Linked DNA regions of Coturnix japonica. The protein of the gene in region 2 purifies or fractionates together with the protein of the main gene of each other region. This does not show direct contact. Links are inferred from orthologs where the notes say so. Each region holds a gene or a part of one and is shown on either strand. Other genes may lie near its edges.

Region 1 (4,188 bases), on a different chromosome or scaffold from region 2:
GCCAGTGCTTCTACTGGGGCTGCCTGACTGCACTGACTGATACAGCCAGCTATGGTGGTCCTCCAAGAACTGCTAGTACCCAGTGATCAGCAGGAAAACCACACATACATTTTTAGTGTGAGATAAAACACAGTGGAACGCAATGTACTGCACCAGTGAGATTCAAACGAAGGAGAAAAATCAAGGAAGATTCTTCACTCCAGACTTTGCTGCTGAAATGTTCTAGGCTAGCAGGACAGAGACTGTGCACTACTTACTGAGCTGCTTAGCTGACAGAAAGTGAAGTGAAACTGTACTTCTTTGTTTAAGAATCTTTTTCACTGTGTATTTTTATTAACACTTGGCTGTAATTTGTGATTTTCTATGCATAATAACGACTGAAGGGCTCAAAAGAAGGCTACACCAGAATAGCTTGGAGATGCCAGCTTCTCAACAAGAAAGCTGCAGAGTCATCATACGGCCTTGCTGCAGTGAGCAGCTGTCTCTCCGTACTGCATTTCACTGAACAAAAGCGCAGCAGAATGAGAACACAGGCAGCGAAGACCCAAATCTCTCCCAGTGAATCTGTTTTCACAGCTGGAGACAGAGCACTTGCTATTCTATATACAGCATCACTGAGCTCAGGGACTCAAGTGGGCAGTGTTAAATTGCACAGTAAAGCAGTTTAAAGCAAATGACTAATCTAAACCCTTCCCTTTCATTCCTGCTTTGGTCTTTCAAAAATGGCTTAAAAACATGAAACTTCAGACTTCATTCGTTATAACAGGACCAGAAGATGAATCCTGGCACCTGAAAGTAAAACCAACGCAAACAGAACTGACAGCACAGTTTCCCAAGTTGTTTGATCAGGACTTGTGGCACACAAAAAAACAGGACAAACCCTTAGCTTAGAGAAGGCCAAAAGCGAGTGAAAAAATACACCCTAACGCCTCCTTTTTCCCCCTAACTTTTTGTTACCTTACCTGCTAGGCCGTTACCTTCATTAGACTTACCATGAGATTTCTACCACTTTAGCTCCTATTGCATTACGATGCACATTTTTAAAGCCACAGGGGTACAAACATGCACATTATCCTTAGGCTTTATCAAAGCATTTGTTTTCAGGCTACGAAGTGCACAAAGAATTCCTTAATCCTTAATTAAACATGATCCCTTAATTTGCCATTTGGTTGTTCTGATTTTAAAAGAATCTTATGTACAACATGTGACGTTAGGATCTCAAAATATTACACCGCACATAACCACAGCCGAGGACAAAGCTAAAGCAGATCTGAAACAGAGATCACTAGTGGCTGGTTCCAGAGAAACAGCGAATGTTCTAGCACTAACAAGGGAGCCGTCCAGTTGCCTCAGGTTTAAAAGCCTTTGCATGGCAATTCTGTACAGTGTTAGCAGAGCACACTCAGCATCTTACTCACCGCGGTGCTGGCTGCTGCAGGACCAGGGGTGCCACGACATTCTGTACCAACCACTGGACTTTGCTCCTCGGGATTACGGGTGACAAGGATTCTGAAGTGCTGCTGTCTCGTGTTTTGATCTGGTCTGATTTTAAACAGGCATCCCTTCCCTTGAGGAATTTTCTCTACTGAATTGCTTCTGGATATTTCTGACCCGCTCCTGCTGTTTCCATGCAGTTCTGAAGTCAGTCCCTCACCTGCAGGGCGGATTTCCTCTGGCCGTGGTTGCACAGGGTAGGAAGCGCTCCTCCCCAGCTGTATGCGCGGGTACCTGACCAATCTATCCCCTTTTGTCCCAGTAAAGCCAAAGTTATACTCGCCACCTTTACCACTTGCCTGCGGCTGCTGTAACTGGAGAACAAAGAACTTTTTCCCTGCATTTGCTGACATGTCTGGCACATGCTGCAGAGACCAGCGCCGGGGCTCGGGGGTGGGAGCATTATTTTGAGCCTCGGAACCATAGGGCAACAGAGTAACCTGAGGCACATCGGCACTTGAAGCACGATGCTGAATCCTCACGCCGCTGAAGTTCAAACCTGAAGGTGTTTCCTTTGCTTCATTCTCATGGGCAGTGGACAGAGCATCGTCGCTCTGGTTATTAGGAGGAATAGTACGGAATATCCTACGGTTACAGCGAAGAGTGCCATTCATCTGCTGCCCCAACTCCTCTGTCTGCCTGGGTGGAGAATCATCAGGAGCCACCTCTGGGCTACTCCGGGAGGATGAATGGTTTTCAACGGGAGACACGTAATGCTCCCTAACATCCGAGGCCTTGCTCAGGGGTGTCTCCTTGGGGGTCTCCGGGGTCGCGCACTCATCTGCAGCCTTGCGCTGGAGAGAGATCTGCATGGAGGAGCTCCTGGTGGGACGTGCGCTGATGCTGTTCAGCAGCTGGGGAATAAACATGGAGGTGCTCCTTTTCAAGGAGCCCACTTCTTGGAAATCGCTGCCACCGCCGTAATCTGCTCCGTGTCGGGAGAAAGCGTGAGGGCTGCTTCTTCTCGGCAAAGTGTGGAATGCCATGAAAATCTCATCTTCTCTCTCCCGGTCGAGGATCTCGGATTCGGGGGCTGTGTTGCTTCGCCCAGAGCCAAAATGAAACCGCAGCCGATGGGCCATGGTTTTACAGAGAGAAGAAAAGGAGAGGGAGAACGGCAACAATTCAGGCGCTGCCAGAAGTTAAAAACCAAAGACATAAACTCCAAGAAAAAGTGTCCCATCTGCCAAACTGTTAGCACTGCAGCACTGATAGCGACAGATAGCAGAAATAGCCCAAGTGGCAAGCAGCATTCCAGGCATGATTGGGTAAGAGCAATCAGCACTCCTACACACAGTGACATGGGGTAGGATGGTGGCGGTCACGTGGCCCGGTTCCCCCTCTCCAATCTAAGCCAGTGGGGGTTCTGTTGTTTTTTTTTAATGCCAGCGAGAGCCTGAAACAGCACCTTCCCAGCTGCTCCTTTTCCATCAGGGCGCAGCTGACCGAGGCAGCGAGCACACTCGGCGCCGCTATAAATCTAACTCATCTCGTACCCGCACGGCGCGTTCGCACAGGGCGCACGGAAAGTTAACGACAACACAAACGGTTCGGTGTTAGGGCTGTAAGTCAACGCCACATGCAAATAAGGAACAATATTTCAAGCTTAACTTTTTGGTGTGTGTTACAGCACGAGGCTATCATGGCAGAACGTGAGTAAATATAGCACCGTTACGCTTTCAATTTTAACTGTGCTCATAGCACGGTTAAGTAACAAGCTCCTTGCCTTTAAAAAGCCACAACTTTCACGTTGTCCCTAGGAGCGCAATGCAGCCCAAGTGAGCCCACACAGCCCCTTTTAATCAGTAAAAATTACAGCAAACAAAGCAGCCCTATGCACAGCAAAGATTTCTCACTCAGTAGAAACAGGAGAAATGCGCAAAATGACAGGAGGCAAAGCTCCTTTTCCAGTGTTACCGGGCAGTAACGACGAGAGAAAACCAGAGACGGGTGTCGCATTGCCGTTTGGTACCGATTTGTCTTAAACAGCGCACAGAAACTCTGCCCTTTACTGGCCAGCCTCCAGTGGGAAAGTTAGCAATTCTACCATGGGCGTGATCGCAGGCACGGAATACAGTTACACTCTGAGAGCCAAGAGACCTCAGAAGCAGAACAGACCAGCAGGATACATCCAACTGCAGAACAAACACCCTGAATATGCTCCACTGCAATGCAGGAAATTGGTGACTGGGGGATCCTCGCAGCCGAAGGGCGCCCGCCATCGCAACGGTTCGCACATGCTGGGGAAGCACCCGGTTAGCTAAAAGCACATCTACAAGAAGAGACAGCGTAGGATCAGCTCAATGTACAGACATCTGTTCCTTAGGAGAACACTGAGAAGTGCTGTCAACAAACTATCGGTGGCAGGTCAGTGCTCTGTCTAGACGTTTAAACCTCTGTTTCCATGCGGCTTGCTCTCAAAAGACATAAAGTGACCAATCAAAGACAAATGGAAGCTTCAAACCTTGCAACTGCCAGCAGACAGCACAATCCCCTATTGTTTTAAGTGGACCAGGAGCCAACAAGAAGAAAAACATGAATAGCTTCTACACAGCCACAGTGCTGTGGAACTGTCTTGTGCAAGCACAAGTGTTGATTTTATCTTATTTTTCAGGTACACCATTTTCCATAGTCTCTTTTTTATCTGAAGATGAAGACACACCACGTATTCTCTGCTCTTATGGGGGGAGAGAA
Region 2 (3,500 bases):
GCTCACAGAAACTGTTCAACTCAATAACAAAATCTCAGTGATAAAGGTGGGGTGTTCTTTCATTTCTACTTGTAAAGAGAAAAGCATTAATGTGAAAGTGGGGCTACTATACATTTATTTATTTTAGACATATTTGCTGTCATTTTGGTCCAAGAAGTAAAACAGCCAAAAAAATCAGACTTTCAGATTTCTCTTGCAGATCATTTAATTTATTAAGTCTCTCTTCTAATCAAGGTACAAATGAGAAAGTAAAAAGTTAAGGGGAAAATATATTTTGAAGACAAACTGATGTTGGAGAGTTTACAAATCTATACTTAATAACTCTTCAAAAGTTTGAGCACTTTTAAAGTAAGTGACTACTTTTAAATAGCCACTTTAGTTTTAACAGCTGCTGTTAAATATTGTGAAGAATTTTTGTGGAGGCATTGGTATAAAAATAATATTATTATCTATCACTAGCTTATCCCCACCACTTCCTCACCACAGTCATACTATGCTAATACAGCTGAAAAACTTGCTGAAAAATAAAGCTGGCAGTATTTTGACAGTAGGGGATATTCTATTCAGATCCAGATTTTTTTTTCATCCAATTCACATCCAATTTCACAGACCTTTTGACAGCACAGTTCAGGTTGCACAAACATTTTAAAAGCACAAAATACAAGTAATGCTAAACTTTTGAAAGTAATACCCTTAACAGCTCTTTGCACTGAACCATTTTGGGTTTCCAAACCACAGTCTAGATTTTGCTGAACTTGAATTTACTCTTGGTACGCAGGTACCCCATTTCTTGTTAGAAAGTATTAATCTGTCTTCAAAAAAGAGCCAACATACCTTTAAAAGCTCATCCCTAAATCACTTTGGAAACATGAAACTTTGGCCATAGTCATACATTAACTTGGCAAGCAGACGCATTAGCTGCCAGTGTTGCTGCACCTGACTGCTTAACTGCTGCCTCTGCCAGCAACACCGTTTCTGTAGCTCTGCCAGAGGAAGAGAGTGCATAAGAACCCTCCAGTTTACCTTGGACTAAATCAGTTGAGTAAACTACGAGTAAATGCCTTAAAAAGTCAAAACATTAAGTCACAAAGTCCAGAAGTAAACAACATAAGAAGTACTTTCTTTGCCCTTCCTAGAAGGGCAGGAAAAGTGTTTTGAATCACACATCCCTTTCTGAAATGCACAGAAAATCTGATGTTGCATACCATAAAAACTCAGTGTTTGGGTTTAAGATTCAGAAGTTTAAGGAGTTATTAACAAAAAGCTTTCTCTGGCAATGAATGGATCAACAACAACAAAATAACCTACCGCAGGTAGTGCAAAAAATGATATTGCAAACACTGAAAAACAAGAAGCAATGGTCTTTCCAATCCAAGTCTGAGGCACTTTATCCCCATAGCCAATAGTTGTAACTGTCACCTGCAAGGAAAAATACACAGAGCATTACAGAAAGTTTTAACACGTCAGTTCTGGTTGGCTTTTCTTTATTTCATTGTTATTAATTTATTTTAAAGAAACATTAGTTGCATTCCTAACTCTCCCAGTGACAATCTGTGCGACATTAAGAAGGCAATTCCCTGCTCTCAGTTTGTTTCCTCATCCATAGTAGAATGAAAGAGGTACAGGAAATTGAATTACAATAAAATACGTGTTTAAAATCTTGTAAAGCAAAACCATTAATGTAAGTCTTCGTGGCTTAGTCTACTTTACAGTATATGAGTTTCTGGGATGTGGGCTGCCTGCCCATGCCATACCCTTCCCTCAGAGGGAGGCTGCCAGCAGTTCTGAGCTGCTGATTTTCTTTATGGGCAGGAGATGTTTGCTGGGAGAATTTCAGGGATGTTGCAAAGAAAAACTATATATATACACACACACACTGTAACTGTGGAATACAAATAGGGTCAGACATGAAGTATTCTAGAGAATAATGTTGGCATTTATAGCAAGAGAAGCAGAAAAATTTCCGTACAGCAACAGATCCTTAAAACAGCCTAATGAATCATAAACTCGGACAGAACATCGAGAGCAAGGACAGATAATTTAATGCACACATACAGGAAACATCTGTTGAGTTTGGGTTCCACTGAAGTAAAGATTACCACCATGGTGATGTAGCATAACAAGGCTTAATAAGTCATTATTTTCAGGAGCTCAAGGAAAGAATGGATTTGTTTGAAGCAGAAGGGATAAATTCGGCATCTGAGAGCAATTTAAATTCACCTATGTCAGAAGCTATTCCTGAATTTGGAAATTAGGGAGATTTCTATCGCTGGCTTTGAAGAAGGCTAACCAAACCAGAACATGTGAACTATGTGAAGCTCTTCAGCAGCTGAAGCACATCTTAGCTGCTGGCTTTTCACGTTTCCCTCTGAGAGCATGAGCTTCAGCTGCACAGGCCACAAAAGACATCAGTCCCAGACAGCAATACCCACACATCATCCCTGCTGTGCCTTTAAGCCACTCCCAGTTCACCTGTCTGCTTCACTGCACACTCCCTAACAACTGCAGAAACACAGGCAGCATCTGCAGGGGAGGAGAGAACAAAAGGGAAGAGCAGATTTATAGAAGTGAGATATTCCTTAATGGTGTGAAGGAACAGAGAACTTGGGAAATACATGGTCATGACAGGTGGTTCAGAAGAAGTGCTGCCACATGTCACATTAGTAGCCATTCATTCCTATTAAAAGATGAGACACCAGAGGGACACCATGGCATATTTATGTTCCCACCTGAGAAACACCTGAAGCAAGCCATCTACTCTCACTGACCCCCTTCCAAGCAATTTATCATTTCATGTCTGTCAAATGCATGAAAAGGGACAGCTGTGGCTGCTTGAAGTGATGATGATACAAGTTTGTTGCAAGTCACTGATACATTAAAAAGAAAATATAATGTTTTGGATAAGTTTTTAAGCTGTGTCTCATTTCCAAATATTGTTCCCATTCAAGACAAGGATTAGTAAGGTAAGACCAATACACAAATACCTCGGTCTATATTCTTGATACTGATGAAATACCTTAATTCAAAGCCCTTGAAGGAATTGAAGGACTTATTTTATCCCGTTATCCATGAGAGGTTCCATTAAAGGAAATTCTAAATTCTAATTACAATTTTTCTTCTCACAAAATATTGTCTTACAAAAACAAATGAATTCTGGCAAATGTGATGGCCTCCAGCACCATCTTACATCAAAGATTATGAGTTAAGCTGTCTTATGCCTCAGTTATGAAAAAAAAAATTGATACAATCTTATCACTGAAAAGTAGTGTCAGCTATTCTATATCATAGTCATAATGTCTTGTTTAAACATATACATTAACTAGAAATGTGAAAAGAAATAGAGGCACATGAAAAACTCATACAAATCTGAAAGGTATCTGTTTTTCCTTCCATTCTCTACCAACCTCATCCATTCCCTCTATCAGAAAGATCAGTGATAGAATAAAAGCATCTTATGTGTATTTTGTTTGGGATATATTTTTAAAAGACATTTTGGAAAT

The links.
Region 1: the proteins of KCNQ1 (region 2) and NEDD4L purify together in Homo sapiens (affinity purification with western blotting, with the first as the bait; 3 studies listed by BioGRID). This does not show direct contact. The link is inferred for Coturnix japonica from reciprocal best matches to the Homo sapiens genes KCNQ1 and NEDD4L.

Annotation. Positions count from the first base shown.
Region 1 is NC_029547.1:603,846-608,033, reverse strand, and holds the start of NEDD4L (E3 ubiquitin-protein ligase NEDD4-like), read right to left. Parts: upstream 2,801-4,188; 5' UTR 2,577-2,800; coding exon 1,419-2,576; intron 1-1,418. UniProt on the Homo sapiens protein: E3 ubiquitin-protein ligase that mediates the polyubiquitination of lysine and cysteine residues on target proteins and is thereby implicated in the regulation of various signaling pathways including autophagy, innate immunity or DNA repair.
Region 2 is NC_029520.1:11,089,990-11,093,489, reverse strand, and holds part of KCNQ1 (potassium voltage-gated channel subfamily KQT member 1), read right to left. Parts: intron 1,420-3,500; coding exon 1,309-1,419; intron 1-1,308. UniProt on the Homo sapiens protein: Pore-forming subunit of the voltage-gated potassium (Kv) channel involved in the regulation of cardiomyocyte excitability and important in normal development and functions of myocardium, inner ear, stomach and colon.